2 linked regions of the Drosophila melanogaster genome follow. Changing the gene in region 1 together with any one later gene gives a genetic interaction. Each region holds a gene or a part of one and is shown in the gene's direction. Other genes may lie near its edges. The genes, in order: rho-4 and S.

Region 1 (18,332 bases):
CGATTTCCCTCGCTTCAAACATCAAAATACTCTGTTTGGGTTTCCCGAGCGTTGATTCATTAATCTAGCCATGATATAACAACCAAAATAATATCAAGCTATAGAATATATTTTTTAAAGAAAAAAAATCAGTCTGCGGGCATCCAGTTCTCAGCGAGAACTTAGCGGCATCCAGCTAATGGAGGAGACAGTAGTGGCTTCGCCACAGCAGCCATGCCTTCGTCGTTCCGTACGTCTAGCGGGTAGGATGCGTTCGCAGAACTATAGAGCCATTCCCAAGGTTATGAATTTGCGGCGCAGCACGCGGCTGGCGGGAATCCGGGAACATGCCACCTCCGTTGTTGTGGAAAACGGGACGCGCCTTCAAAGTGCAGTCCAAAAGAAACGCACGCGAAAAGTGAAACCTGCGCCCAAGGCCTGGATGGCCAATAATACTAAATGTTTACTGGGCCATCTTAACAATGGAAACGTTAAGCAATTGCAGGAGATTCCAGGGATCGGTTCAAAGACCGCCTCTATTTTGGCCGTGCACAGGTCAGTTGACATACGTTCATTTGCGTTTTACCCAATAACCCTTAATCCTTAATCCACATTTTTCAGATCCCGCCTGGGTTGCTTCAAGAATCTAATTGAAGTCAAATCCCTGCCCATTTGGTCGGGAAATAAATGGAAACGATTTTCTCAAATTAACTGTCTTGACACTTGATACAATTACTAATTAAATAGCATTTTAATTCGAATATAGTATAGTGATTGTTATTTATGTGGCATATACTTTGATTTTACAACTATAGTAGGAGTAAAAAAAAAGGAGCCGGATATCCTTAAAGAAACAGTTATATATGTGATTTATTTTTTAAATAGGCTTACCTAGGATATATTATATAATATATTAAATTAACAAAACAAGTTGGCATTTTAAATTAAAGCACAAATTGATTGTTATAAAAGTATTAAACAAAAAAAACTAGTCAAAAAAGAAAAACTTTCAAATAAATGACTTATTAAAAGTGACCAAATAAATAATATTCATTAACTTTTTTTTTCAAATTTAACTCCCTTTCAGCGTTGCCAGATTGGGTTGCATGCGGGATTTGATTATTTTTATTCACAAATTCTGGGTAGAGGGCCACTTGTGCTGCTCCGGCAGCTGGTCACACTGTACAGTCGCGCAGTTTGGTTTCTTTGGTGCGAGAAGACGGTTGGTGTTGTTATTTTTTTTTTAGTTCGCTCCGCTGTTTTTAGGTGCTACGCGCTTTATGGCCCGCTCTTAATCTTATCGCAAATCAAATCAAACCGCGGCCAATGAGCACCGTAATTTCACTTTTTGGCTAACGGTAACGGCACTTCCGCTCTCCGAATTCGATATTCAAACAGTCGCATTCCATCGAAAAGCGAAACAAGAAGTGGCCGTAAAAATGACCGTGAAAACAGTGAATCGCCAGCAGAGCCAAACGCCCACCCAACAACGGCAATTGCATCAGCAGCGGGACGTCGAGAATGGGCTCTATCCCACGATTTCGGACGGAATATGCCACATTATTATCGGATAGAATACAGGAAATGTAGGATTTAGGTAAGGGAATAATAAATTTCTAGTAGTTTTCAAGTCATTTTGGAGAGCACATAGTGGTTAATTCATGTACCATATTAATGCATGGGAAATTGGCGAAAAACAAACACTCAGCCGGCACTTCGCGGCACTCACACCTACACAATCATACGTGCGTGTGAATGAAGTTGCTTGTGCTTGTGGTGGTCTGCCCTGTTGCCGTCTTCTTCTCACCCTCGGTGAAAGTTGAGTTCGATGAATCATCTGAGCATCGATCCGCTATGGCGGCGATCTTCACTCTTCGCACTCACTCAACAGGGGGATTCTATCTACGAATCCATCAGTTTCGGCCGCTTCGATTCTAGTTTAGTTAGCACTCTCTTCTGGTTGATTTGGGCAGATTCATATATATATATGTATATAGGTATGTATGATCATACGATTAGCATACGAGATAAGCTGCCAATCCAATCCAAACACAAGGCGCTGGAAATCGGCATTCCATACACATTCCTACTCTCTTTTGGCTGGAAATCTTATCCGATTTCCCTCGCTTCAAACATCAAAATACTCTGTTTGGGTTTCCCGAGCGTTGATTCATTAATCTAGCCATGATATAACAACCAAAATAATATCAAGCTATAGAATATATTTTTTAAAGAAAAAAAATCAGTCTGCGGGCATCCAGTTCTCAGCGAGAACTTAGCGGCATCCAGCTAATGGAGGAGACAGTAGTGGCTTCGCCACAGCAGCCATGCCTTCGTCGTTCCGTACGTCTAGCGGGTAGGATGCGTTCGCAGAACTATAGAGCCATTCCCAAGGTTATGAATTTGCGGCGCAGCACGCGGCTGGCGGGAATCCGGGAACATGCCACCTCCGTTGTTGTGGAAAACGGGACGCGCCTTCAAAGTGCAGTCCAAAAGAAACGCACGCGAAAAGTGAAACCTGCGCCCAAGGCCTGGATGGCCAATAATACTAAATGTTTACTGGGCCATCTTAACAATGGAAACGTTAAGCAATTGCAGGAGATTCCAGGGATCGGTTCAAAGACCGCCTCTATTTTGGCCTTGCACAGGTCAGTTGACATACGTTCATTTGCGTTTTACCCAATAACCCTTAATCCTTAATCCACATTTTTCAGATCCCGCCTGGGTTGCTTCAAGAATCTAATTGAAGTCAAATCCCTGCCCATTTGGTCGGGAAATAAATGGAAACGATTTTCTCAAATTAACTGTCTTGACACTTGATACAATTACTAATTAAATAGCATTTTAATTCGAATATAGTATAGTGATTGTTATTTATGTGGCATATACTTTGATTTTACAACTATAGTAGGAGTAAAAAAAAAGGAGCCGGATATCCTTAAAGAAACAGTTATATATGTGATTTATTTTTTAAATAGGCTTACCTAGGATATATTATATAATATATTAAATTAACAAAACAAGTTGGCATTTTAAATTAAAGCACAAATTGATTGTTATAAAAGTATTAAACAAAAAAAACTAGTCAAAAAAGAAAAACTTTCAAATAAATGACTTATTAAAAGTGACCAAATAAATAATATTCATTAACTTTTTTTTTCAAATTTAACTCCCTTTCAGCGTTGCCAGATTGGGTTGCATGCGGGATTTGATTATTTTTATTCACAAATTCTGGGTAGAGGGCCACTTGTGCTGCTCCGGCAGCTGGTCACACTGTACAGTCGCGCAGTTTGGTTTCTTTGGTGCGAGAAGACGGTTGGTGTTGTTATTTTTTTTTTAGTTCGCTCCGCTGTTTTTAGGTGCTACGCGCTTTATGGCCCGCTCTTAATCTTATCGCAAATCAAATCAAACCGCGGCCAATGAGCACCGTAATTTCACTTTTTGGCTAACGGTAACGGCACTTCCGCTCTCCGAATTCGATATTCAAACAGTCGCATTCCATCGAAAAGCGAAACAAGAAGTGGCCGTAAAAATGACCGTGAAAACAGTGAATCGCCAGCAGAGCCAAACGCCCACCCAGCAACGGCAATTGCATCAGCAGCGGGACGTCGAGAATGGGCTCTATCCCACGATTTCGGACGGAATATGCCACATTATTATCGGATAGAATACAGGAAATGTAGGATTTAGGTAAGGGAATAATAAATTTCTAGTAGTTTTCAAGTCATTTTGGAGAGCACATAGTGGTTAATTCATGCACCATATTAATGCATGGGAAATTGGCGAAAAACAAACACTCAGCCGGCACTTCGCGGCACTCACACCTACACAATCATACGTGCGTGTGAATGAAGTTGCTTGTGCTTGTGGTGGTCTGCCCTGTTGCCGTCTTCTTCTCACCCTCGGTGAAAGTTGAGTTCAATGAATCATCTGAGCATCGATCCGCTATGGCGGCGATCTTCACTCTTCGCACTCACTCAACAGGGGGATTCTATCTACGAATCCATCAGTTTCGGCCGCTTCGATTCTAGTTTAGTTAGCACTCTCTTCTGGTTGATTTGGGCAGATTCATATATATATATGTATATAGGTATGTATGATCATACGATTAGCATACGAGATAAGCTGCCAATCCAATCCAAACACAAGGCGCTGGAAATCGGCATTCCATACACATTCCTACTCTCTTTTGGCTGGAAATCTTATCCGATTTCCCTCGCTTCAAACATCAAAATACTCTGTTTGGGTTTCCCGAGCGTTGATTCATTAATCTAGCCATGATATAACAACCAAAATAATATCAAGCTATAGAATATATTTTTTAAAGAAAAAAAATCAGTCTGCGGGCATCCAGTTCTCAGCGAGAACTTAGCGGCATCCAGCTAATGGAGGAGACAGTAGTGGCTTCGCCACAGCAGCCATGCCTTCGTCGTTCCGTACGTCTAGCGGGTAGGATGCGTTCGCAGAACTATAGAGCCATTCCCAAGGTTATGAATTTGCGGCGCAGCACGCGGCTGGCGGGAATCCGGGAACATGCCACCTCCGTTGTTGTGGAAAACGGGACGCGCCTTCAAAGTGCAGTCCAAAAGAAACGCACGCGAAAAGTGAAACCTGCGCCCAAGGCCTGGATGGCCAATAATACTAAATGTTTACTGGGCCATCTTAACAATGGAAACGTTAAGCAATTGCAGGAGATTCCAGGGATCGGTTCAAAGACCGCCTCTATTTTGGCCGTGCACAGGTCAGTTGACATACGTTCATTTGCGTTTTACCCAATAACCCTTAATCCTTAATCCACATTTTTCAGATCCCGCCTGGGTTGCTTCAAGAATCTAATTGAAGTCAAATCCCTGCCCATTTGGTCGGGAAATAAATGGAAACGATTTTCTCAAATTAACTGTCTTGACACTTGATACAATTACTAATTAAATAGCATTTTAATTCGAATATAGTATAGTGATTGTTATTTATGTGGCATATACTTTGATTTTACAACTATAGTAGGAGTAAAAAAAAAGGAGCCGGATATCCTTAAAGAAACAGTTATATATGTGATTTATTTTTTAAATAGGCTTACCTAGGATATATTATATAATATATTAAATTAACAAAACAAGTTGGCATTTTAAATTAAAGCACAAATTGATTGTTATAAAAGTATTAAACAAAAAAAACTAGTCAAAAAAGAAAAACTTTCAAATAAATGACTTATTAAAAGTGACCAAATAAATAATATTCATTAACTTTTTTTTTCAAATTTAACTCCCTTTCAGCGTTGCCAGATTGGGTTGCATGCGGGATTTGATTATTTTTATGCACAAATTCTGGGTAGAGAGCCACTTGTGCTGCTCCGGCAGCTGGTCACACTGTACAGTCGCGCAGTTTGGTTTCTTTGGTGCGAGAAGACGGTTGGTGTTGTTATTTTTTTTTTTAGTTCGCTCCGCTGTTTTTAGGTGCTACGCGCTTTATGGCCCGCTCTTAATCTTATCGCAAATCAAATCAAACCGCGGCCAATGAGCACCGTAATTTCACTTTTTGGCTAACGGTAACGGCACTTCCGCTCTCCGAATTCGATATTCAAACAGTCGCATTCCATCGAAAAGCGAAACAAGAAGTGGCCGCAAAAATGCCCGTGAAAACAGTGAATCGCCAGCAGAGCCAAACGCCCGCCCAACAACTGCAATTGCAGCAGCAGCGGGACGTCGAGAATGGGCTCTATCCCACGATTCCGGCCGAGCGACGATCGCCCCCCTCGCGTCCGCAAACGCTGCGACAGGACACCATCGATATGGAGGAAATACCGCTCAATCAGACGAACAGCCAGGAGCCAGAGGATCGGCGCAAAATGCACGAGATATTTGACAAGGTATGTAGGACTTATAATACTCGCAATTCCCTTCCCCAGCACAAGTGGCAGCTCCTCCTAAGTATTAGATCTTTTCTGGTTTGTAGAGCCAGCTAACCAAGTAGTAGCCATGGTAACTATACCTATAAAGGTATTACTGTTCACACGGTGTTACAACTTAGCACTATATCTTTAAAGTAAATCTATGATGATTTAACGTTGATTTAATAGTTATGCCACATTATTATCGGATAGAATACAGGAAATGTAGGATTTAGGTAAGGGAATAATAAATTTCTATTAGTTTTCAAGTCATTTTGGAGAGCACATAGTGGTTAATTCATTAGTTAGAACCAGCTACGACTAATTATCCCATTTAAACTGGCTGGTGGTAGGCAACAGAAGGTTAATGCTGAGATCTTGTGAAATTGCACCATATTAATGCATGGGAAATTCGCGAAAAACAGAAGAACGACTGTAATTAAAACACACAGCCGGCACTTCGCGGCACTCACACACACACACTCATACGTGCGTGTGAATGAAGTTGCTTGTGCTTGTGTGGTCGGCCCTGTTGCCGTCTTCTTCTCACCCTCGGTGAAAGTTGAGTTCGATGAATCATCTGAGCATCGATCCGCTATGGCGGCGCTCTTCACTCTTCGCACTCTCCCAAGAAAACCCCACCTTTAACCCTTCAATGGGCCGGCGGGCGAAAACCGACACGATCAGATGCTTTTGTTTGCAAACATGCCAGTGGAACAAACTTAAGGTATACATTATTAAAAAAAAACCTTGTATCTTGTGGTGATTAATAAATACGTGAGATTTGATTCCCGTTTAACATTAATGGGTTAAGAATTCGATTATAGTGCCTAAATAATCAACTGCTATATGTACTTATATCATACAAGCATAATTACACTTTTCGGTGTATTTAACCCATCACCGCTTGTCTGTCAGTCAATTTTGCACTTTCGCAGAATTCCGTATCACATTTTATAAGCTTTTTTTCGCTGCAGTTTGTTTTCTTAAAGTAGAAAAATCGTGTGTGCTGCAAAAAAAAATGGGGGGGAGGGTGGTTGCCTACTGTTGGGGGACTGAGTTTTCTTATCGTGACAGAGGGTTGGGGGAAAAAGACCAGCAAAAAAAGAAGAAGAAAAACCGGTTATAAATTATTGTTTGTTCGCTTTGAGTTCTGCCTTTGTTGTTGTTGTTGCTCTTGCTTTATTCTTGGTGGCGTTAGTCACTTAACCCCCAACTGACACCCACCGCCCACCTGTTTGCCCGAGTGTTACCATTATCAATTTAACAATTTGTGGATTTCGTCTTTTTTAATTCTACCAGTGCGATTGCCTCAACGTGCAACGTCCTCTTGATTCACCATTTGTTTATAGCCATATAGAGTGTGTAGCGTTCATATCGCGTTCAATGTACCCCGGCAACAAGGGGATTCTATCTACGAATCCATCAGTTTTGGCCGCTTCGATTCCAGTTTAGTTAGCACTCTCTCCTGGTTGATTTGGACAGATACGTATATATGTATGTATATAGGTATTCTAACCATACGATTAGCATACAAGATGAGCTGCCAATCCAATCCAAACACATTCGATGCCGCTGGAAATCGGCATTCCAGACACATTCCTATTCTCTTTTGGCTGGAAATCTTATCTGAATTCCCTCGCTACAAACATTCAAGTGGCCAAAATACTCTGCTTGGGTTTTCCGAGCGTTGATTCAATAATCTAGCCATGATATAACAACCAAAATAATAGCAAGCTATAGAACATATTTTGTCAAAAAAAAAAAAATCACCAATCTCAACCAACATTATTCGTTGGAAAGTTCAACTTGAACCCGGAGGGGACTGTATCATTTTGATATTTTTGAAATATCATGTTTGATATGTCACAGATAACAGTCTTTCTGATATGGGAAAATAGCAGATAGATGACCATTTTCGTTGATATTTTTATTCATTGAGCTGTGCAAAAGAGTAAATCTTAAGTTGTCTGTTGGCTAATATAGGAAAGTTTTGGAACTTCAGGTGTTCCAATGGTTTTACAATTAACTTTTTCCGAAAACCATATTTTTTACAAACTGACCAAGTGGCTTTCGTGTGTTCCGAACACACTTGACGACTATGACTAAGTCCCAATCCCCGCGAGACTCCGTTACCGCTGGCAGCTTATCGCCTGGTTTTGATAATAACCAACTTTTTGGTTTTGTTTTTTCCCCCTGTTCTGTTTTATTTTAAGAACACCTAAAGGTGTAAAATATTAGTTTACGACTGGAAAGGAGGATACATATTTATGTGCATGTACATACATGGGCACCTATCTAATTGTCTATAGTATATGCCAATGTCTTTCCTCTTTTTTTTTGCGTGAATCTAACTTTTAAGTGCGAGCGTTGACTTTTCGCTGGGTTTTCTTTGTTATCCCAGTTCCTAGTTATTTACTTTACTAAATACCTTAACCATACTTAAAAGGTCAGTGCGCATAGCTTACCTATGACAAATGTTTTTTATGATCGAAAACCGAGAATACAAAGCGATAAGACAGTAACATCCATATAGGGACTTTCTATTGGCGAAATGGCAATTGAGAATTTCGAACTTCTGAAAGGAATAGGTGACAAATGTTTTTTTTTTAGCAAAATCCTTTTGTATTTACCAATGGGGATTATTGACGTTTTGCAAAAACCATCAGTTGCGTTTAGTTCACAATAACTTTGGATGCCTTTGTGCAACTTCATGTGACTTTGTTTCGATTTGTTTTCGATTAGCCCCGTTTTGGATTTCTAGTTTCTCGTCTCGATCTGTGGCATTTATTCCTGCCCATTTATGGCCACTTTTTGGTCCGACAGCGTTCGCGGCTGTGTTGCAAGTGCTGATGGTGATGCAATCAAAAAGGAGGAAAATCACTCAACAAACATAATAATATGTGGGTACTTGTTTATTTGTGAACTCATGCTGCAGGTTTGAGTGTGTTACGCTATGATTTAGAATAGTTCCTCGGGTGAATGAGATTCATTCGGAGTCTAAGGGAAGGTCAAAGAAAGTGGAATTTTGGCTCTTGGGGGCGAGGCAACTGGTGGCCTGCTCCTCCTCTGGCGCATCCACAGCATCGTGCCAATCCTGGGAATCGTGCTCCTCCTGCTCCTTCTGATCCGTTAGCTGGAGCAGACGCATCCGCAAGCGCTGCTCTTCCAGTTGAATGACTGAAGGCCTAGGAGCAGCCACTTCGCGAATAAGCGATGGCATGGCGGTCGTCCAGTTTGGCAGCAGAGTTAACCCCGTTGCCCTGCCCTGCCGCTCCAGACGCTGCAACTGGCGGCGCTCCATGGCCATCAGTTCCCGCTTGGCCCGGGCCCGCACCTGGTCGTCGCTGGTCGTGGTGCAGAGACTCAGGGCCGCAAAGATGCCGGCCATGCCCAGGTAGAGAACCAGTACGGTCACAATGCCGGACGATTCCTGCAGCGGCTCCTCCTCCTCCGCGACGTCGCATGTGGGCGTCGGTGTCCAGCCAAGCCAAGAGGTCACGTGGCGGGTCATCTCCATCAGTTGCGACATCGTTCTCGGTTGAATCTTGAGGCGAAGATACAAATATATATAATATATGTATGGTTTATACTAAATAATTATGTCATTAACCGATGACACCAAGCAAATGGTAGTTTCTTTACTTCCTTCTAGGGAAATGTATTCAGTAGTTTATTTTTATTACAGCCTAGTTTTAAAAGGTAGGATGAATGCGCTGATATGTACCCAATTGTAATCGGTGTTTCCAAGATGTTGTATTTCAAGATTTTTTGGATTCGGTGCGGGCCTGCCCGACCACTCGGAATTTCAGCTAGGTACTGAGTGTTCGAATCCCTAATGTTTTCGAACCCCCATGACGCTTTAGTATATGGCCTACTGTGTTTAAATGTTGACTTACCCAGATTCTATGTGTGAGCTTAATCATGATGACTAACCAACCATATGTATATGCCTCTCACACAGCACGACTCTGACAGAGATGGGCTGATCAACACGCACGAGCTGAAGGAACTGATCTCGGATGGCTATTGCCGGGACATTCCCGCCTACATCGCCGACCAGATCCTGAAGCGCAGCGATCAGGATAACGACGGCCACCTGGACTTCGAGGAATTCTATGCGATGTCCCTGCGCCACAAGTGGATGGTGCGCAACATGCTGACCCGCTACTGTCGCTACGTTGTGCCGCCACCGAAGCCCTTAGAGGGCGATGAGCCCGACGGTGCCTACGAGAAGCAAATGTCCATCTGCCCGCCGCCGCTCACCATGGTGCTCTTCTCGATTATCGAGATAATCATGTTCCTCGTGGACGTCATACATTTCCAGTGAGTAGTGATGGTACAATTGGTTGTATATGATAATAACACTAGTAATCTGCTATGTTCAGGGACGATCCCAACTACCAGGATCGCATAGGCGAGAGCACAAGTGGACCAGCGGCCACCCTGTTCATCTACAATCCGTACAAGCGCTATGAGGGATGGCGCTTTGTTAGCTACATGTTCGTTCACGTGGGCATCATGCATCTGATGATGAACCTGATTATCCAGATCTTTCTGGGCATCGCCCTGGAGCTGGTGCATCACTGGTGGCGCGTGGGTCTGGTCTACCTGGCTGGCGTGTTAGCCGGTTCCATGGGCACCTCGCTAACCAGTCCTCGCATCTTTCTAGCGGGCGCATCGGGTGGAGTATACGCACTGATCACAGCCCACATTGCCACGATAATTATGGTAAGTCTTTGTTATACTATTTGATATTATTCCATAATTACCTTATGGTCGCCAAACAGAACTACTCGGAAATGGAGTACGCCATTGTCCAGCTGCTGGCCTTTCTGGTCTTCTGCTTCACCGACTTGGGTACCTCGGTGTACCGCCACTTGACCGACCAGCACGATCAGATTGGCTATGTGGCGCATTTGTCCGGTGCCGTCGCCGGTTTGCTGGTGGGGATCGGTGTGCTGCGCAATTTGGAGGTGCGGCGATGGGAGCGCATTCTCTGGTGGGTCGCCGTCATCGTTTACTTTGCCCTCATGACCACTGGCATCATCATACACGTGTTTGTTCCCGACTACTTCCCAAAACAGGAGTACAACTAGCCCCATCACTAGCTCTAGCCCTAGCCCTAACCCTTAACCATGTCCAAAGTGCACTTCGATATTGAGCCGAGGTTGCAGTACGCACAGTACTATATATAGGATTTCTTCTGACCATGTGCCTATGCCAGCTGCAAAAATAATTTATTTTTTTACAACTTGCCATGTCAGCTTCATTCCCAATCCGAAAGTGGTGCAAGCATGTCGTACGTATTTTTATATATTTATATACATACATACATATATAGTAACGTAATTATGCCTTCCTCATAATTCTCTTATACAAAAGACCGACCGCGGTGGTCCGCCGTATCGATTCCTTGTTACTCGATATTGCGCATCCACTTAAGCCGTAACCAAAACCCAGACACTAGGCAGGCACATACATAGCCACGTAGCACATAAGAATTCTTTTTCATATGTATGCACAAAAGCATAAGCAAGAAGCGCTCTCGCGCAGATCAAGTAAACAACCCACTAACCAAGTACATTTAAGATTTTCTCACACCATTTGTTTCAGTCTTAAGCTGATATTCAATCAATAAAAACGCAAAGCGAATTCATTCGAAGTTTTTATTCATTTCGGTTCAAATACGGATCATTTATTCGACTCAAAAGCAAAAATTATTTTACTATATGTATTCTCGATCCACATGACGCGACGCGGCGCAACGAAATGTCGACGGAGAACAAAACTCAGAGCTGCATTTGTATTACACATTTCGTTGACATTTTTTTTTTTTCAAGAAAAACGAGAAATATCTTTAAACAAAGTGTACTGTATATTTTTGGAGATTTATTATTAAGATCTTATATATTTAAATGTAATAAAAACAATGTCTTTGTACGAAGAAGATGGGTGTTTTGCGTATGATTTTTATTTTTTTAATTGTGTCATTCATGTTCAAATGTAATGAGTACAACTTTGATCTTGCCTTCGTAGGACCAGCAAGACCAGGCAGAACTACTTACACGCAATCTTACATAAGTACTATATTTTTATAGTGAAATTTATAGTTCACTTCCCAAAACAGTGGTTTAAGTCGATTTAGTATGATCCAGCAATTAACCCATTTATTTATTATGTTTACATGTTTTTCTTTTCTGTTCATTACAAGCTGTCAATTTGTAAGCAGCGTCGCTTGATTGCATCGTTCACAGCTTGGGACAAAGTAATGTACTGAATGTCGTTCAAAGATATTGTTGAGAGTGTGTTTAAATGTGGTGTTCGGAGGTGATGCTTCTCGAGAAGACTCAGTCTTGGCATTCTCTGCTACTGGGAGGGCTTATATATGAGCTAACTTATGGCACCTAGGAATAACTAGTGCGTTAAACGTTCTTACTTGTTTTTCAACTGTGGCCGTTTGAGGAAGGTAACCATGGTGCTGTTGAACATGTTCACCTTAACAAACGTAACAAATGTTGTTGGTGCCACATCGCGCAGTATCATCAGCAAGCGCTTGGCGGGCAGAAAGGTAACGCATTCCGTGTGGTCCGTTTCAATGCAACGGTCATCGGGAGCACAATAATTAAGGTCATCGTCCAGCGGAATTCCCGGTACAGGGCGCTCCACGGGGATCACATCCTTCTTACTTCCCCTGTACAGCTCACCCGTTGCACTCAACAGCTGGGTAACCAATCCTAGGCGGAACACGCGAAGCTGCGAGGCATTCTCGCGAACGGCCCGCATTACGGAATAGATCACGTTGGCCGAATTTTGAAGACACTTTGGGACGAGCAACAGGTGCGTAACAGTGGTGCACATTCCAATCAACGAAGTTAGAAGGTCATCCACCTCGACGTTCACCAGCTCCAGTTGCTGTACCGAACAAGCAGCGGCTACACCACACATAATGTGGTACAGCGGAAAAGTGGTATTGATCATGTGCTTGTTCTCCAAGCGGAGCCTGCGTAGAGACGTTAAAAAGGGCAGCACTTGCTGGCCAAATTCCTCGGTATCCATGCCCTGGCATGAAGACAACACTAGCACCTTCAGGTTAACTAGTTTCTTCAAGAAGCGGAAGTCCTGCGAGCCTATATAATTCACTCCACGTATATTCAACTCAGTTAGATGCACCAGGTCGCCCAGAGAGTCTAGTGATTCCACTTTGCTTCTGTGGTCCGTCATTAAGATTTGAAGCACGCGAATCTTAGACCATTGTCGTGCCAAATTTAAAAAATTAAAAGTTGGACTGTAGCAGATTGCCCTTAGCTCCAGCAGTTGGGGCAATTCACGAAAGACCTTAAAGAGGAACTGGTCATCTACTGGACAAGTGCGAAGAACACGCAATGCTTTCAGGACGCTAATGTCGAGTGTAGCGAGAATATCCGGAGGATTCGGCAATATCACGCCCAGCATGTCCAGTTCGCGTGTGCAATTATTTGCGAGTTCACGGATAAATCGCGGCCAGTTGCTGATATGGGTATCGCGTAGCATGACTGTGCGCCATACACTCTTATCCTGACTGATCATGGCCCATGTTTTGCAAACCTGCGCCATATTTACACGATCCTATATGGGATGGGATGGGATTACGAACTTCAATTTTACGATGACCTAGACATTTTACCTTCATCGTCATGATTTTCATAACGGCCATCACTATCTGGCATCCGATGTGACAATCGCCCAGGCTCTGCACCAAACTGGAGCTACATTTGTCCTTTGAGATCTTTTTAAGGCCAGCCAAATTCTGCCGGTTTGGAATCCTGATAAGTTGAGGAAAAACATATAAATAACTGTGCGTTTCGTAGGTTTTTTGCGTTGGTCTTGGAACTAAACCGACTCACACTTTCAGATTGCAACCAATCGGATCGGCTATGATGGCTATAGCCTTGCGCCCTCCAATTACAACAACCTCTTGTTCCTTTATAACGGTCTGCTTATTCACGTTTTCTAACTGCTTTTTCTCCGCCTGTTGAACGGATATTTCATTTTCCAAAGTGACTTCTATCATGCTGAAGTCACTGTCATCGTCATCATCATAATGATCCTCATTTCCTCCAGTCTTTTTCATCCATTTCTTATTGGCATATCCCTTCTCATAGATACACTTCTGAAAGAGGATATTATAAGCCAGTGAATCTCCAATAGCATTTCGTAAATTACCTTGCACAACTTAGGTCCAGACGGATGAACAGAAGCCGCGCAGCGCACACAAGGCTTTGACTTATCAGGGGCTGCCTTTGCGTGAGCTCTGGACATGAAAATACCGAGTATATAGAGATTGATATGTGTATATATATACAATATATCTACCTGCGCCTGCGAATGTTGGTATTACCAATCGGTGAACCGCACGAGCTGCTGTTGGTGTAGTCTGCCCGAGAATTCCCCTTAACCGCCCTGGTCGAGGTCCAGCCCTCACTCGGTGGACTTGCCCCTTTGGGCACCTTGGGCTTCGACACTCGCTTTCCAGTGACCGTTAAGGCAGGCGTCTGGGGCATTACGTTGGACGGGTTGGCCAACCCAGCCTTGCCTTTCACCACCGCCCCTTGCTTCGCCACCGTTTTGCACTTCACAACCGCCACATGTTCCATCTCCGCCACCTTTGGGACCGGGCTACCATTGCTGCGAGGCCTGGGATTTTCGGAGCTGGGTATAAAGAGATCTCGCTCTACGCCAGTTTGCTTTAGGCGTTCGAAAATAACTTTCAAAGAGGTTTCGGTGGATGTTTCTTTCATTATGTTCGTCTCATCGGTCAGAGGCGTATGGCTACTGAAGCGCACTGAACGACGCGAATGCTCCGGAGGCGAATGGGTGGACATAGAACGTTTTACGATGCGAGCGTCCTTAAGTGATTTGTGCAAGGTATGATCAGCTTCCGCCTGCTTCTTGGTGGTATCCTCTTTTTTATCTTCAACCTATGGGGGAAGATACAAGAGGGAGAGAAGATCAATGGTTAGTAAATCTGTGAAATTTCCGACTCTTAGCATAAGATTTTTTAAGGGTCTCCACCTGGTTGTATAAGTCTGATGGTTGCATGTTGGTTGGTGTTGTACTGGACTTGGATGTTGTTGCAATACCAGTTGCATTTGGACTTTTTTTTGCGTTCAAAGGGCTTTTAATGGCTGCATCCAATTCCCCCTGGGAGGCGTCGAGTGGCGACGTCATTATCGGCGTTGTTAGAGACGGCTGCTGCTGCTGCTCCTCAGACTTATTAGTGATATGAGCCGGCTTTGTTGTACCTGCCGCTGTCTCCTCTTGTGGTTCCACTCTCGGAAAAACCTTTAGGCCACTCCATGGCAGTACACCTGGCTTGGCCGTCGACTATTGCCGTAGTGTGCATGTTGTGTATTGTTTGGTTGAGATTTGAGATAAGCACAGATACGATTTCGTGTTGAGAAATACAATAATATAGAACAAACAAAACGATGTCCGCACAACATAGACCTCTGTATACCAGTTACCAAGTTTGATTGGAAAAATAGTCAAAAAACAGTTTATGGGGATCTAATAACCTTAAGTTCTTTCGATTTATGCAAATTTCCGTCCCAAGATTATTTACAATATTTTTATGTTTACATAAGTTTACTTTACAGGTAAAAGTAATTTGAGTATAAGTTTTAAAATAAACTTATACTCAAATTATATTGATTAATTATGTGTATTTGTGAATAAATACCGACCGAAAGGGATATTCAAATTAGCCCATTTGTGGATTGAACATGAGTATACAGAGGTATGTTCTATAAGCTTGAACAGACAGCAGCAGGCCAGCTCGTGTCCTGGACAGCATCGCCATCCCCTCTACTCACCAGCGGTTCTTTATCCGAGTTGCTTTCGATGTTGGATATGGGTGTTAGCTTTGGGAATTCTCCAGTCCATCCCATTAGACCTAAATCGCACGGTTCAAGATCGTCACGATGCGTGCTGGGCTCACGATGACGTTCACGTTGACGGCCACGGCGTCTGCGGCGTTCAAATTGACTCTTGTCATTTAATGTCTTTGAAGTCTTAATCATAGTACCTAAGTGGGTTTAGATGAGATGTGTTATTATGCTACAGATGCTGGTTATTTATTTATGCTTACTTTTTTTTCCCTGCTCAGTGTTCGAGTCTTTAAAGCTAGAGCCATCCCGGTGAGTCGAAAGATCCACGTTTGTGGAATTGGCATTTAACACCAGCAAGTCGCCCTCAATAATGTTTTGTCCCACGCCGGCACTCTGTTCACCAATGGAACCTTGTTCATCTATAGCACCGCCTGTGCTACTTTGATTGGCGCCGGAACTAGGTCCTGCAGCTGTAGATGATTCGAATGCGGAATCAACGTTACCGTTACCACCGGTATGCGACGATGAATTGGTAGCGCTGCTAGAGTTGCCAGCTAAGGGCTGCTTGTCACACGGCTTTGACGGCCCAAAATTGTCATCGGGCACATCCATGTCGCTCTGGAATCGATGTGCAAAAAAATAAGCTAAGTTTCTAGATATATGTTGTATATGTTCTCATAAAACATTAATAGTGATCACTTATGGAACCGATAGGCAAACAATTCAATGGAATTTCGTCTGTCAAAAATATTGACCCTGAAGACCTGGGTTGTCACTTTTTCCACAACCGACGTTTTATTGTCAAGTCATTTAATTTAAAAAGTATGCGATGTAAATTCTAATCAGAGTTAGCCCTTTTTAATACAATACTTTACAATAAACGAATTCTGCCGGTTAATCTGCACACAACTCACACACACACACACACACATGTAAATTTATGCGAGTGTCAGGGTTGCGCGGCTTCGCGGTTTGTTTTCTTTACGTTTCTGCTTTGATCGCCACAATTGTTGATCGAGAGGAAACCTGACGCACACATACGAAAAAACTGAATAGCGGGTTCTTGCACTTTCGCCGGCACAAAGTACACAGTTTTTCTCGTTTAAGTTAAATTTACTATCACTCTTTCGGACCGTTTCGCTTTGTTACTGTGTTTTCAGCCTATGCTTTGCCGCTTCTTCGGCGTATCGCGAACTTGCGTTGCAAGTAAGTGTGTGTGTGGATGCGACGCTTATTAAATCTGCACCGGATTGTTCAGCTAACCGTGTCAAAATCATGTAGAACTCAACAATTTTGTTTTAATTTTTGAGCTTACCTTTGTAAAAGAAATAAAAAGTTCACTTGAAAAGACACTGAACACGACAACTTCTTTCGGAAATATAAAACGAACCTACAAGCGTACTTAACTTGTCGACTTCCACTCACACAATTATTCGGTTAGATGGAAAATCTCGACAACGATTATTCAATACTATCGAATGAGTTGTAGGATTTTCTAACACATGTAAATACCAAATTTTAGCATATGATATGTTTTAAAACTTACCGGCATATACATTCACTGAGATCACAGATTTTATTCAAACGAATGTCTTAACATATATTTATATATATATTTATATTTATCTCAACACTTAAATACTAAAAGACACGTTTATCGAAATTGCCATTTTTGGAGACACCTAACGGGTTTTCCATCGCACAGTTTCGTTCCATGTGCTGTCATCGATAGTCCAACAACAAAATATCGCGTGCAATCATCCCTGGCGACACAACTGGTTGTACATATGTATATAGCGACATTACACACCTACATATATACACCTACATATTGCCAGCTCTGCACGTGAAATCCGAGGGCGGCTGTTGTAATCTGTGATCAAATCAAGTGAGTCCAAGCGCTAAATGCAAGTACTATAGGCCATACAATAGCATCTCTTTATCCCTATGTGTTCACAGACATGTCCAAGGCCAAGGGTAAGAAGAAGGAGCGCTTTGATGACGACGAGGAGCAGCTGGAGAAAGTGCAGGAGAAGAAGCCACCGACAAGCAAGAAGGGTGGTAAGAAGGGAAAGCGAGGAGGTGGCGGCGGCGACTCCAGCGACGAGGATGTCACGACCAGGAATCGGGACAACGAGGATCTGGAGAGCATAGCCTCATCGAATCAGAGCAAACAGCAGACTGCCGGCAAAAAGCAGGCCAAGAAGGGTAAAAAGGGCAAGAGGAATAATGACTGGAGCGACGAGGATGAGAAGCCAGAGAAGAGTTTGCCTGCCAACGACTTGGACGATGAAGATGACGACGAGGCGCCTCTGGCATCCAAGCCAGCTGCTAAAAAGCCACAGCCCAGCAAAAAGAACAAGAAGAACAAGAAGAAGAACGACGATTTCTCGGACGAAGATAAACCGGAGCTGGACTTGGACGACCTGGACAATGAGGAGGATGAGGTGGAAGTGGTTGCTGTCAAGCCAGCCTCCAAGAAGTCCAAGAAGAAGCAGCAGGCTCAGCAAAAGAACATGTTCGCCATGAGCGATGATGAGGAGGATGAGGTTGCCGATGATCTGCCAAATGACAGCGAAGAGGAGGAGAAGGAACAG
Region 2 (15,224 bases), on another chromosome or scaffold:
GTTCAAATTACATTAACAAAAAAAAGTGCCGCACTTGACCTTGGCTAATTGCAATACCAAGAATTCTTGAATGGAAGGCTTCGGGGGCGCGCGAATGCATAAATTACGGGAGCGGTCAATGTTAATTGCTGGAACATGTGTACTTTGGAGTATCAAATAATCGCTGCCTCGGATTACTTAACCTTAAGACGGGCCTTGTCCCTGGCGCAAGTGGAAATGCCGGAAATGCCGCGACTTTTGCCACAAGTTTGATGAAAGCGCAACTAGAATTTGTTTTAATTTCTCTCGTGGTTTGCAAGGACAAAAAACGAAGGCACTGAAACCATATTAACTTTTCCGAAACAGGTAACCATCGGCCGTCGCATTGGCCTCTACAGATTCTGTGGCGACATCGGACGCGGCAATTTCTCGAAAGTGAAGCTCGCTGTCCACCAACTGACGCGTGGTAAGGAACAGGACGAAAGGCTACTAATCAGATTAGGAATTAACCGAAATCATCACGATTTACAGACAAAGTGGCCATTAAGGTGGTGGACCTGGATCGGGCCGGACTGGATGCCAAGGCACTGCGAATGCTGTCCAGCGAGATAGCCACTCTCGAGTGTGTGCATCATCCGAATATACTGAGGTGAGGCAAGCGAAGTACACATATCTGCTAGAGTTGGCCCTACATCTTTCCTATGCCTTGCAGGCTTTTCGAGGTGGTCGAAACTCTGGGCCGCGTTTACCTGGTCACTGAGTGGATTCGCGGTGGCGAGCTATACAACCACATCACCCAAGGCGGTCCGCTGCGGGAGATTCATGCGGCCCCGTTGCTGAAACAACTCCTCCTGGCAGTCAAACATATGGTAAGCTGACTCCCATCTATAGAAATCCGCAGTGAATTGTGGGAAATATAATTTAATTGTATCTCAACCAAAAATCAATATTGCCAACGGGGAATCGTGCATTTTAAATCTTTCACACAGAGATTTATGGCCCATTTAATATTAATTTGCATGCGTGTTTTCAATATTCAATTATTTCATCTGCAAAATTAATTGAACTTAATCGCACTTGCAGCACAGTCTGGGCTACGTGCATCGGGACATAAAGGCGGAAAATGTCCTGCTCCTCTCCGAGGATCGCCTCAAGCTGGCCGACTTCGGTTTCAGTACCCAACTCATCAATGGTACGGGTGAACAGCCAAGCCAGTGCGTCGGCAATTTAATCAACTTTCCCATTCCCTTTGACAGGTGCCAATCAAAAGCTCGACACGTTCTGCGGATCCCCTCCGTATGCGGCGCCCGAGCTCTTCTCCGATGACCACTACATAGGGGCGCCCGTGGATGTTTGGGCCCTGGGCATCCTGCTCTACTTCATGGTGGTCGGAAACATGCCCTTCCGGGCACCAACGATTCCCGGCCTGAAAGCAGCCATCCTGAAGGGTGACTATCTGCTGCCCGGCCAGCTCAGCTTGCCCTGCATAAGACTTATACGTGAGTGGATAAATATTAAATAATAAAAAAACTGCTTTAACCTAATATCTTCGTTAGAACGCATCTTGATTCATATACCCGCCCAGCGGCCAACCATCGACGACATGCTGAACAGCCAGTTCGTGACCTGTCCCAAGCTCAGTGCCGATCTGATGCAGTGGGAGATCAACCAGCACACCAAGCCGGTCAAGAGGTCCATCTTCTGGGTGCGCAGCAAGTCGCATCGGCTGCGGAAGTCCGCCTCACTACGGGATCGATACGCGGAGGTGGTCAAGAAGCCGGCCATTAGCATGAACACCAGGCAGCAGGACGAGATGTTTGTGCAGAACTTCCTGCAACCGATCGAGATGGGACACGAACTGTTGGTCCCGGTGTCAAGTCAGCTGAAGGAGCCACAGTCCACCGAGCAGGCGAAGCGTCCAACCAGAAGGTACATGTTCTGCGGCAGCCTGAAGAAGAAGGTCACGCCCATGGAAACGGAACCGGAGAAGCAGCTGGCCAACGGTGGACAGTCAATCGGTTCGGCCAAGATCAATCCGTGGAATGTGGAGGTGGCCGAGGATTGCCCCCTGTTCAAGAACTACGACGCGGAGACGGGCAGCTGCGTCATGCTGCCCACGAACACCGAGGATCTGAGCCAGCTAGGTGCCCTGGAGTTCGAGGCACGCCAGATCCTGGCCGAGCTGGGCCTCACCTCCGAGATGCTGATCAACGCCAGGCAGAGCGGGCCGCGCTCCGACATCATTGGCGCCTACAGGATCGTGGTCAATCGGTTGCAGAAGCAGTCCTGGCTGGCACGAAAGCACGTGGAGATGGCACTGCACAGCGAGCCCAAGGTGGAGAAGCGGATTGAGAGGTCGTGCTGCATACTCTAAGACATCCGAAAATAGTTGTTGAATGTTCATATTACTCTCCTGGTTCCGCTGGGTCTTTGAGTTCCCCGAGAGGAAAGGCAAACTGGGTGTGTCGCTTTTGAAAGGAATCTAAGGTTCAAGGAACTCAAATAGTAGCTCAAAAACCTTTCCTACTAGAGGCTAGTCCGTTTCGATCAGCTTTAAATATCCAGTGCTTGATTTTGAACCAACAAATTGAGATTAGAAAATTTTATAGTGAATACAACATAGAATTTAACCAGAATATCGAGAATTAGGATGGATGAATTGCAAAAGTTAAATGCATTCGAAGCGCAAGAAACATAAGTCGCTTGAATATGAATAGAAAGGATTATCTTCCGATAGTAGGAGACAGTTGGATACTCTGATCTGCAAATCCCAGTTTGCCTTTCTGCGGGAATCAGCCCGGAAGGCCAAAGGTCAAGCCCAATTAGTGTCAATTCGCCAGCTGCGTAGCCGCGTGTTTGTTGTTAACGTAGATTCCTGCATCCTCATCCTGGTTACTCATTCGAGAAAGTTCCTTGGTTCGTGTAGCTTGAGTTTGTCCAGCCGTTGAGTCCAGAGGCGGATGGCAAAGTTGATATATACATACATACATATATATATACATATATAGATATATACATATAGTCCAAGTATTATGTATTTAGTTGTTGGTCCATTTTTGAGCATATACAGACGAATATACGAAAGGAAAATGAATATTACGATTACAAACATATAAATACACACCGGGCTAAGGCGATTGCCTCGATCTCATCGAGTCTTCAATGTACAACGTTGCATAAAAATGTTTAATTGATCATCAAAAAGCGGTATGTGTCCGTAAGTGTCGCTCTGTGTGTGTGTGTTTTGCCAAATTGTCTCCCGTGGAGTCAATCGCGTACAATAAAGCAGCATTATGAATCGCTAAGAACCGCATTCGTACAAATCGTAAACATACTAAAATCTAAATCTCAACCACTCGTCTAATTATGCACTTTAGCCTTAGTTTATTGCATTCGCAGCATCCGCAGGGGCTCGACCTCCCGGCCCACTCTCTTTCTCCTCATTGGGTGCTCCACTTTCGCCTGGCTGGGCTTCATCTGCTCTGGTGCGGCGCAGGCGCAGGCGCTCCGCCGGCGACCTCTCAAATGACGGCTCTCTCACTGGGCTTTTTGCCGCTGCCAATGGCGCCGCTACAGCCGGCGTCGCTGTCCCTGCCGCTCTCTTCTGGAAAATGGAGTGAATTTATTGAGTGAAATCGGAGTGAAATTTCGGACTGTTGATTCAGATTACAAGCTGTGAAGTTATAAATAATGGTCTTAATGGTCAGCTTCAACAGAACCAACTTACCAACTATGGCAAAAGAGTCCGAATCCGAGGTGCCCGCAGGCCAATCGATGTCCGGCATGGTGGGCCAGTCGATGTCCTCCGTGGTGTCCCAATCGACCGCGCGGGTTTGACTGATCTCGAAGAGCGCAGGCGAGCAGAGGCTGAGCACCTCCTCCTTCAACTTGGTTAACAGGGACTCGAAACTATCACTGGTCTTGCAGAGGAAACAAACCGCCAGCGAGGGGTCCATGGCGGAGAAGTTCAGGCGAGCAGCATGCTTTTGATGGTAGGTCTCGTCGTAGTCCTGTTCTGCCGCAGCAGTTTTCTGTGCCACGGCGCCCGTTCTCTGCGTGGTATGAGGATCTAGGTAGAGAACCTCATCGTCCACATAGCCCAGGAAGTACAGAGCCTGGTTTGGTCGACCTCCGATCATGCCACAACTGCTGTCTAGTTCAAGGCAGCGCTTTAAGGCAGGCACGTAAAGCGGGTTAATGTCTGTGATGCCCAGGCGCAGGGGGATTATGAGCAGCAGTGGCTTCCACGAGCCTCCTTCTCGGCACGACGCATCTACAAAGTGGACAATGTTGTTAGGCAAATAGTCGGGCTATTTAGGCCATTTTCCACACTTACATACGTCATCCAATACCACTGTGCTATCCATGGCCACGTGAATCGCCAGGGAGCTCCAGTCATCGAAGCGCACTAGTTTTCTGAAATCAGCAATTGATTATACCACTTATCCACCATGTTAGGCCAATGGTCTTACTTGAGAATCTGGGCTACTGTATTCGGTCCCAGCCACTCGCCGACCGCTTTGTTCTGGGACTCTCCCATCTGGGCAATCTGGTGTATGGAGTAGAAGCTATTCCTTACGTCTTCAAAACGGTTCACGATCTTGAGGTAGGTGGCATCACGGCAGTCCGGCGTCCAGAACCAGTCGCGTCCCAAATGTAAGTCGATCAGGGCCTGGGCGAGAACCATCTGACCACAGCGCAGCATGCAGCCCCAGCCCTTGTCCGTGGTGAGCTGGACTTCTCCCAACGGCGAAAATCCATGGCGATATGTGCACCACAGGCGCGACTGAATGTCCCGTCGGATGAGCTCTAGCTCTGAAAAGGGATAGGGTGTTGATTATGGATTTCAGTTTGGTATCCATCGATGATAATCGAAAAAAGGTTTGGGAAACCCCTTATGACTCATGCTGACCAATATGCTAGATTTGTACCCATATGACAGCATTAAATAAGGTCTCATCTTACCCTGTATGGCGTTGTACTTCTTTCCCAGGACCCAGACGTCGGTGTTTCTTCGGGGAATGTCCTCCGGCTCTCCGCTGCCCACCGCCTGGCCAACTGCACTAGCGAGGACGCTGTCTGGGCCCAAGTACGCCTCGAAGACGCTCTCCATGATCCGCGCTAGCTGGTCGCTGAGTCCAACCAGCATCTACTGCCCGGTGCGCTGGCAGAAGGAGAAGGGGGTGGACACCAGGGCCTCCGCTGCTCGTCTATACGATAATTGCCTTCGAATGACGTTCTGTTTTTCGGGTGGGCCTTTGTTTTGGCCTGTGTTTTCGCTGGCAGCAACGGCAATGCTCCTGCTTCTGGCCCGAGGTCACAGGGGTTTCATTTGTTGTTGGCAGTGACGGGCGCTGATTACAAACTATGCGATAACCAGCATTTGATCAGTCTGCGGCTGGTTTAGTTTGATTTATTTTTCTTTTTTGTTGATTACAACGCAGTGACGTAGCTGTTAGTATGACCGCAACTGATAAGGTATTTTACTTTGCCAAAATACCGAACCTTGCACTTAACATGACCATAACATAGGAAATAACAGTATTTTTCCAAACTGTTAATGAAATGCATTCAAAAATGAAGTTTTTTAAAAAATATTTAATTTTTTTCTTATTTTACGCAAAGTATAGATTTGTAACAATGTAAAAACTTCAAAATTGCACGTGCGGGACTTCAAACTAGCTACGCTACCTTGAGTGCGCAGAATTTGTTGTTCAGATCGAAGAAGTCGTTTTCTGGATCGGCATCCTCGACCATTTCCGCATTGGGATCCGCGATGGCCTCCCTTAGCTCCACTTTCCTAGCCGCCTGACGCTGCTTCTTCAATCGCTTCTTCTGCAGGGCCTTTGCCGCCGTCGGATCCACCTCCAATCGCTTCCAAGTTGGTATAAACTCCGCGCACCAGTCGTACAAGTAGCAATAGAAATCGAACATCAACTTGGAGTCGGGCAGCAGGAAGTTCTCAACATGGTAGCGGACATCGGCACGATTCCTCAGTACATCATACATGTTGTAGAGAAAGGCGCCGCAATAAAGCTGGTTCATCCTCGGACTCAAAAGTGGAAAATCCAAAAGAGAATTTAGCCCATTGAGTTGGTAAACCACAGCCTGAAATTCAGCAAATGCGTGGATAACCGTGGTGGAGTACAAGTCAAACTTCTTTTTGAAGATCTCCTGCATATGGAAGTGCGGCAGTAGGCGTTCCTGAGTTAAATAGCAGTCCGATTTGGGTACATGAGCCATCCGATCTGGAACAGAAAGCTCTAGCAGAGCAGGTTTGATGCCGCGCTTAATTCCCTCGGCAGCTTCCTTATCCCTCACTGCTCGCTCTGCTTTCAATGTCTTGCCAAATCTTTTAAGGAAGGTTTTCACCTCTCGTTCAGCAGGGATTGTAACATCTATGGTTCGTAGGACAACCAAACTAAGGATCAGCGAGTGAAGATGCAGCAAATCACAGTGCTCCGAGCGATGTAACCAGTAGATAATGGCCAGAAAGTACAGCCTCAGGTCCTCCGGCAACTGGTCGAGCTTGCTGAACAACTTCTCCGTATCCGCATTGGGAGCATTGTCTTCGAATACAGCTCTTAAATGCCTAGCATCCGGCGAAAGAGGATCAAACGGATAGGCAGGCTTCTTTTCAATGGGCATCTTGAAATACCTCACGTTCGTCACTCGCAGAGCTCTGGTGAGGTAGGTGAGATAGGGGACTGTCGAACCCTCTATATCCATATCCACTTCTAATGGTAGCTCAATTTTCTCACACTCTACGTGATGGAGAAGAGCGAACACGTAGTTCAGGATGGGTAAGGCCACTTCATTGGAGTCGTGGAAGGGAAAGTGCTCGATCTGTGGGTTGTTGATGTACTTGCGCAGGTGCATAAGGTCCACGAAGCTGCGGGGCAGGTGCGCGGGATATAGTTTGTCCAGAAACCATTGTGGGAAGAGTAGCGTTTTGTCTTCCACTTCCAGCTCGAGGCCTTCATCCGCCTCCTCTTCTTCTTCATCACCCGAATCAACGTCTTGATTTTCTTCCTGCTGCTCCTCATCTTGGTTATCAGCTTCCTCCTGATCCTCGCCTTCTTCGACATCTGAAAATTTTTCATCGGAGCTAGACGAATGTTCATCGTCGCTGCATTCCTCTTCACTGACGGGTTCTATATAAGGAAAAGCATTCTCGTAGTGCTCATCGAAGTAATCGTAGGCGTGGCACAACTCGTTGGAGTAACCAGAGATGGCTGCATTCACTTGGGAGACCAGGGAATCACGCTGGTTCTGCAAGAATATTATTTTTAGCATAAATCGGAAAAAGATATCTCAAGCAACGAACCTTTTTCAGTCTCGACAGCACTTTAGCCAGAGCAGATTCCGCCGTTTCCTCCTTCAGCCATGTGAGGATGACCTGTATGCGCTTCTGCTGGAGCTTTAGTTTGCGACTTCGTCCTGCTTTGCCCATTCCCGCAGCAAAAAAGTTCTTGAAGGCACTGCGGGCAATATAGTCATTGCCCAGGAGGGCGGCAAAAAGGGGTAGCTTCTCGGGACTCAGAGTTCCTCGTCCGCAGAGATGGGACACCCGGTAGATGCAGCAGTCGAGGTACTTGTAGGTCTTGGAACTGCCTTTTGTACTGGCTGTCAGCCCTGTGGTTTGAATGCCAGTCACAATCTTGTTGGCCCTGGTGCGCTTCTTCACATTCTTGGCCTCGCAGTGACGTAGATCTCGACTGTCCTTCTGGTTGCTGCTGTTCTTGTCCTTCACCTGCTTGGTGAGAACCTGGGGTACATGGAATCGCTTAGTATATGCTGGAATCCAAATAACTTATGCCTTACCTTAACAGTCAGCGTGATCAGCGGGATGTACTTGACGTTGTGGATGTAGAAATCCGAGTCGTAGGAGAGCACTGGGCAGTTAAGTTTCCTGGCCAGAGCAGCCAACTCGTCGTCCGCCTCAAAGACGCACCTCATCACCGGGACTCCGCAGTCGCGCACAGCGTCCACGAAAACCTCCTTGAGGTGCAGCGGGAACAGCGTGATGGATGCATTGGGGTTTATCTTCTTGATCACGGAAATCTTGTTGCGCAGCCGGGTGCTAACGGTCCTCAGCTTGCGCTCCTCGTACCCGCCGTCCATGAGCACATAGGGCCGAATGTTGCACTCGGCCAGAACCTGGAAGAACTGCACCACGGCGCGGTAGAAGTCGTCGTAGTCGCCGCCGAAGGCGGAGTAGCTCCCGGTGACATCCTTGTACAGATTGCAGCTCAAGTTGTCGCCATCGATGACCAGCGCCGTGGAGTGCAGCTCGTGCGGCTTAAGGTAGATCTCCGCGCGCTGCGCTATGTAACTGGTCAGGCCGCGGACTCCCATTTTCCCGGCGCTTGCCTATTTTCCCAATTTTCTATTTACCTATTTTGCACAAACTTTAAAAGCGTGCTAATAGTGATGTCAGTTTGCAGTGCGATACTATCGATGTACATATCGATTCTTTAGCGTGGCCGTTCGCTGCCGTTTGGTATATATGAGCGATTAGTTTGGTATCTAGGGTATTTCCCGCAGCCGGATGGTATATTCCGGGGATGGCGCCGCGGTCACACTCTGTCCCGACAATTCCAACCCGACGCTTGTCTGCTCTCCACCCGCGCATCAAACGTCGAAAAATCGTAACGTCGCGAGTGCTACGCGGTGGCCAGGAGAAAAATTCGCCAGCAATAGCAACACTTGTACCGAAAATCTAAAGGAAACTGGGAAATGTACTAGCACAAACACAGCGAGTGCAGTGGAAACCGAAATCGCCATTGAATCGAAGAGCGCGTGCATATATACGGGTTCCGTTGGTTCCGTTCCGTTTCTTGTCGCTTTTCTTGCACACACTTTACCACTTTACCTTTGCGTCTCTCGTTTCGTGCGTGCGTGTGTGTGTGCGCGGAGTGTGGTGTGCGTGCGTGTGTGTTGTTTTTGTGTGTTCGTTTAACTAAAGCACAGGTAGAAGGAAAAGCAGCGGAAAAAAGAAAACCATGGGCGAAATATGCATATGAAATTAAGTAAATACAAGGCGACAGCAGCAGAAAACATCCAGTAGCAACGAGAAACAACAACAACAATAACACACGTTAATAACTCAGCTTTGTGCGTCTTTCGTCTGCGCTTCACATAGTATTATTTTTCTCTTGGATTTTCCACACAAAAACACCATGAGTGAGCGAGCGAGAGCGACGATCGTGATCACCGTGTCGTGAATGAATTTTTGTCAGTGTGTGCGAGGCGTGCTCTACGCACACACACACGTACGTAAACAACACAACCACACACGGCCCATCATCGATCACCAATCACCTGTGTGTGTGTGTGCGGCATTTAATAAATAATTGTGTGCAAATAAATGTTCCAAAAGGAAATTGTTAAGCCAAACCAGCAAAAAACGTAAATCAACCGTGCGATAATTCGTCCTAGAGTTGAAAAAAAAAGACGGTTCAAAAGCAAGTGCGTGTGTGCAGAGTTCTTCTGGTGTCTTGGGAGCTTCGTTTTACGGATACGAAACATATATAACTTCCCTCTTTGCCGAAAAAGGTGAGTTCAAAATCAGGGAAAAATCCCTTTCCCATTGGCCAAGGCCGTTCCGGGAAATCTGCGAGTGGTCTTGGCCCACGTTTCCTGTCTTCCGCACATTTTCACACGTCCTGCAATTGCAATTTTTTCCGATTTCCCAACTCTGCACCTCCTGTATGTTCGGCGATTCCCACGCCTCTTTTTTTCGGGGCAGGTATTCGCAGGTAGCGGAAAGAGGAAAAACCCTCGGGAAAGCCGATAAACTAGAGAAAACCTCTGTTGGTGGGCCGAAAAAACCAGAAAAAATAGAAGAATTGAAATGTTTTCCCTGGCTGCTGAAACAGAGAAAATCGGGCGAAATTAGGCACCCGCTGATTCCAGAAAATTGCTCGTATAATAGAAACATCTCACTGGGGGAGAAATAAATTATCGTTATTATCATCTGCAGTTGCAATTTGGCACAATTTCGATATGACTGTGCTCCCATTTGCCCGGCGATTATGTAATTTTCGCCGCTGTGCTCGAGAATCAGGTTCATTTTCCATATGAAAAAGGGGGCTTTGCTGCAGACATTGCATATATGCCGACGATCTGGCGACCACCGACAGTTGCCAGCAATTTCCGGCGCTTTTTGGCAACTGGAAATCGAGCACAAAAGTTCATCCCAGGGCTTAGAGAGCCGCAAAAGGCGTAGCCATCCATATTCACCCCATCCCAAACGCATTTCCCAATGTGGTTTATAGTTTTCCTACAGCTGTTGCGACTGCGATTTTAACGATTTTTACTGGTAATCCGGGGAGGAAGTGAAGTTCATAGCGGTTCGACCAGTTGATACCTCTTAATAAACTGTTTGTAGGGCATTTCTGAAAAGGAAATATTCCAAAGCGAGATTTGGTTAGTCTCAATCCTTAGAACAGCATTGCTCACTTCCTTACACAAGTGCATACTACCCTCGCATACCCTGTAATCAGTGGGCACCATAAAAAGAGTTTGAATTTCAAATAAAATCCACTCTCCGGCACACACACAAGTCCACTGGGGAGCAGCTGCTGTGTGTCTCTTTGTGCTTGGTCTCAAATGACACTTGCCAGCGCTGCTGCTGCATATAATTCCGAGTTCTGGGGAATTTCCTAGTAGGAAGTGCAGGGGCCACAGCGAAAACACCAGCAAGAGTCGCACTTGATGATTGTCTTGCCACGGCTATTGCCGTCCCACTCTGGAAACGTAAATAGAGAGGCCCGATAAAGAGCGGTCTCGAACTTCCCCCAGTTGTGTTGCCTCTAACCCAACTGAAACTGAGTGGAATCGAGGTTTTCTGGCGGCATAAAATTTGATAGCAATTAAGATATTTGTTAGAACTGTTTCTAATGTCACATGTGCTGCGTGTAGGAGTCTCATCCTGCACTATCTTGTTTTTCGCACTTGCCCCGTTCCCATTTCCCGGCTGGTACTCCAGTTACTTGCCGCAATTGACCAATTAAACAATTGTCTTTGATTAAATGTGCAAATTTGTCTAATGTTCTGCACTGCGCGTATGTGCAAAGCGGATGTGCCCGCTTAAAGCTGCGCTTAAATTGCCCGCGTAATTTGTCACTGATCTCACTTTCTCAATTGGCGATCTCTGATTTCTGAGATTCCTGATCTCTGCCTGGCCAATTAGGCGTCATTATGCGGCAGGCAAGAAGGCACCGTTAGATGGAGCCATTGCAACAGTGGCCAGAATAATAACAGCGACTAGGAAATAATGGCTAATGGCCTATACCTTTGCCCATCTAATGCTTCTTGACCTACAAGCCTCCACAGGCCTCTCGCGTTTCCTGCCCGCTTTCATTTACTGTTAATTATTGTTTAGAAAAGCGCGGGGGCGGGGGCCAATAATAATAAGAAGAAGAAAAAGCAGCAGCATTGGCCAATAAAAGCTTGCAAACAATTTCGAATTTCCAAATGGTTTGAAATGCAGCCCAGCTGGCAACAGAGGAAAAGAGGCAGCCAAATCAACCGAAAGGCAACACGGGGCCATAACAACAATCTTGCTCGCACATTCATAATAGGCGAAACAGAGGCGGCCAAAAAAGTAGGACTGTTTCGTACAAAAATATATAGTAGGATCTTAACGAAATGTAGTTTTCATAGGATCAAATGATAATGTACTGTGTTTATTCGCAACTGAAAAATACAAAATATTCTGACCAACTGTATTTTTAGATAACAGCAATATTTGTAACTACTCTATTATTCCGAGCCCTACTGTACGCATACACACACACACACACAGAATCAACAAATAAAGTAATTATTTCCTTTCACATGGCGAGCTACCTCCAAAATCGGAAAGACATAAAGAAGAATATAAAAAGCGGAGAAGCCCCAAGACCCAAAAATAAAATCCAACAAAATCCGCTGTCGGCGTCGATTCCTTTGTTGTTGTTTTGCTGCAGCGGTCCCAACACGTGCAATTGGGAGCGAGCGAGAGGGGGAGAGTAGGAGCGAAAAGAAACTAATAGGCCAGTAGTACGAATCGCAGAGGAGTGAGCAGTGCAGTGGCAATTTTGCATCGATCTCCCACTCAATGGGCAAAAAACGGAGCTCGAAGTTGTGAGTGACATGTGTGAGTGAGGCTCGAAGTGAATGAATGGCACAATCTGTGATTGATTCATGCACAACTAGATGACTAAATTCGCTTTCGGCCCATTCTTTCATATCCGTTAGCTGGCCACTCCTTTTGTCCAAGTTTGGTCAACCAAGTTGGCTCGCTCTTTTGCCATTTAATTGATTCATCCACACCAGCAGATATCTGAAATCTGAATCGATCCCAAAATGACACCCAATTTCACTGTTCTGTGAATGAATACGGTTTTTTTTATCACGTGTATGTGGGTGCGAGTGCGCCATCGTCTTACGTTGTAATTTCGCGACTCTATGTCCGTCCTTGTCTGTTGCTAATAAATCAAGACCCATGTTCATTTTGCAACGGCTTTGGATACCCTACAGTGGGTTGCTTCGTTTTGTCAGACTCAACAATAATTGCAAATGGTTTTCTGTGGTTATTTACAATTATGGCTATAAACCTCATTAAAAGTCTTGAAAGCTGCTTAAATTGATAATTACAGTTCCAAAGAAGTAATCACTCATATTCATTGTATCATCATTTGGAAACATCAGTCATTGCAAACACATCAGTCATATCAGTGTCGAGGGTAATCCGCATTCGATGCAACGCTTTTGCCTCTTGTGTTCGCTAGTTTTTGCCATTTATGCAGCTACCGTGGGGCGCTTACGTCATTGGCCGGCTTGGTACATATTTGGCCATGTTTTACTGTTGTCAATTGGATGCTATTTGTGGGCTAAATTTCTCGCTGGCGTCAACACAAAATATTGAAAGTAGGCAGCTCGGATTGAGTTGAGTCATTATCTTTTCTTTTCTCGAGTTGTGAAATTTGCTCCCGAATACCTCGGATGCGCAAGTACATATGTATGTACATACATATGTGCCGACTGTTCTACACATTTTCTCAATTAATAATTTCGAGCATTCAGTTGGAGGGAGAGGTGCCCATACATACATATCTACATACATATATAGCCCATATATCATTGCCAAGATCATCTATTGGCCTCTCTATAGCTGCGTCTATAGCGACACAATGTGTCTGAGCGAAATCCGTTTGGCATTTATTTACTTGTCTGTCTTCTGTTTGGCCAGTTTCATTGGAAAATTCACTTTTCGCTAAACAATTTCCATAAATGCAATAAATTTATACAAATAGCCCTGTTAATGGATCGCATCGATCTGCTTTACAAAGGTATTCGGAGCATTGTTTTGATTTGCCTACGCCAATGCAGCCAATTCGAAATAAATCGAGCCACATTCATGAATGAAATAATGAATGGGAATGGTGTTATGAACTTAAGATCGAATGCGGTCTACTTTTTCGCCTTTTTGCGGTTGGTGGTCTTGTGGTCTGTGACGTCAGGTGATAATATAGTTAATGATAATCAGTGAATCTTTTTGAAGGGATTTTACCTCATTAAATTTTAGTGGCAAAATTGCTTTATGGATTAAGTGATTCTTAGTACGATTAACGGCTCGTAATGCTTTTCATCATCGACCTGGAAAATTTCCAGAACTTAAGGTCTGGCATCTGGTAAATGGAAAATGATCAATGCCGAAACTTCTTACAAACCTTACGCATTCTATGAAATATTTATAAAATTCTCCCCTAAAATAGAGCTGAGCTGGCATTATTAACCTGCGGAATCCACATTCAGCGGAATAGATCCCACTCATCATATCGTTATCCAGCGCAAACAGCTGACTAACCCGGCGATCGCCGAGGGGTCCCAACTACATGGACGTGGATCCCGACCGAATGCCTGTGGGTGGTGCAGCTTTTCATAGCCACCTACACTAACTCACTGCGCCAATATTTACACAACATTGATGGACATATACAGCGTGTTTACCTACTTTGTAGGTGCTTCGGTTTCGGTGCCCCTTGTTATGCGTACAAACATACCCCTAGCCTAGCCCTATGTACCCCATAGATCGGGCTATTTACTTGCGTATTATTCTGCCGCTATTTATAACTGGCGTACTAATTTGTAATTTGTTTAATGATTCACTTAGCGAACTTTATGAAGTGTGGGAACTGGAGTTGTGAGCCCTGTATCTACGGGCACTGCTATCCACAAGCCACAATCTTGCAACTGCAGCACTTGGCTTGTTGGCCCAACTCGTTAGTCGCGATAAGATTGTTTCCGAGAAGTCCATAAAGAATATTAGCTTTGATTTGTGTTTAGCATTGCCCCGATCTATCAGCGTTACCTGTTGTGGGGGCTTATAACACAAACCATTTCCATCTATTTTGGCTCTTCATCCTCCGCGAGGTGTAAACAACTTCTGGCCGGGATCTTCGCCGCCTTCAATAAACAACTAATTTCAATGGGCTATACACAAATTAATTCGCAATTTGCTGATGAGCATCTCTGCCCGACTTCTGGAATTGTCTCGGCATTTTGGGGTAAAGAGATAAAAGCAGACAGTACAGCCTTAGGATTCCCAGACACTTTTCTTATCGATTACATCAAAGTGCTGGTTATTCTCGGGGCTTTAAAAAACCAGTTCTCATTTCTCAGTTCTCAGTTCCCTCTTTGAAAAAGGTAAAGCCGAGTGAAAACCACAATAATAATTCCCATAATTATAACAATGAACCGCACAGATACAGAAATCCGACCAAAAAAAGAGATATCCAAGTGTCGCCGTCCCCAAAACAACAACAAATAAAGCGACCAAGAGGCAGAAGAAGAGGAAGACGAAGAGCAAGAGGTGGACGAAGAAGAATCACAGTGTGGTTGCTTTGAAATACAAACTTTTGTGGTTACAAGTTTTTTCTAGACCACAACACAGCAAAGGCTGTTTCTTCTGTCTTTCGCTCAATGGCAAAGCCAAAGAAGTTGTGGCTGCCAAAACAAAAACAAAAACAAAACAGAAAACGGAAAAAATAACCAAGAAGAACCAGAGATGGATGGTTGGTTGGATGGATGGATGGCGAAGGTGTGTTGTGTAGGAAATGATACGGATACCGGGCGAAATAAAGTCGGAAGAAGTCTTCAGCACAACGAAAATAAAAGCTGGGAACAGTGGCGTAGGCGGTGGGGTAAGATCAGGGGTAAGATAAACAAAATGCACTGCTATTTTCACAGTTCGA

Evidence for each region.
Region 2: of rho-4 (region 1) and S, changing one enhances a phenotype caused by changing the other (phenotypic enhancement), as found in Drosophila melanogaster (one study listed by BioGRID).

Annotation. Positions count from the first base shown.
Region 1 is NC_004354.4:11,594,482-11,612,813, forward strand, and holds rho-4 (rhomboid-4), read left to right. Parts: upstream 1-5,356; 5' UTR 5,357-5,605; coding exon 5,606-5,845; intron 5,846-8,761; exon of another isoform or gene 8,762-8,855; coding exon of another isoform or gene 8,856-9,398; exon of another isoform or gene 9,399-9,413; intron 9,414-9,593; exon of another isoform or gene 9,594-9,713; intron 9,714-9,830; coding exon 9,831-10,192; intron 10,193-10,254; coding exon 10,255-10,597; intron 10,598-10,656; coding exon 10,657-10,965; 3' UTR 10,966-11,807; downstream 11,808-18,332. Other genes in the region: CG2533 (uncharacterized protein), read right to left, coding at 8,856-9,398; CG2247 (uncharacterized protein), read right to left, coding at 12,302-13,474, 13,533-13,671, 13,753-14,018, 14,072-14,159, 14,222-14,826, 14,921-15,232, 15,721-15,932, 15,996-16,347; CG1703 (uncharacterized protein), read left to right, coding at 17,697-18,332.
Region 2 is NT_033779.5:1,071,148-1,086,371, reverse strand, and holds the start of S (star), read left to right. Parts: upstream 1-8,556; 5' UTR 8,557-9,537; intron 9,538-15,224. Other genes in the region: CG4629 (uncharacterized protein), read left to right, coding at 346-445, 511-628, 692-848, 1,063-1,171, 1,236-1,478, 1,536-2,353; Atg4a (Autophagy-related 4a), read right to left, coding at 3,501-3,583, 3,707-4,252, 4,316-4,395, 4,452-4,794, 4,945-5,128; ast (asteroid), read right to left, coding at 5,662-7,251, 7,307-7,747, 7,804-8,337.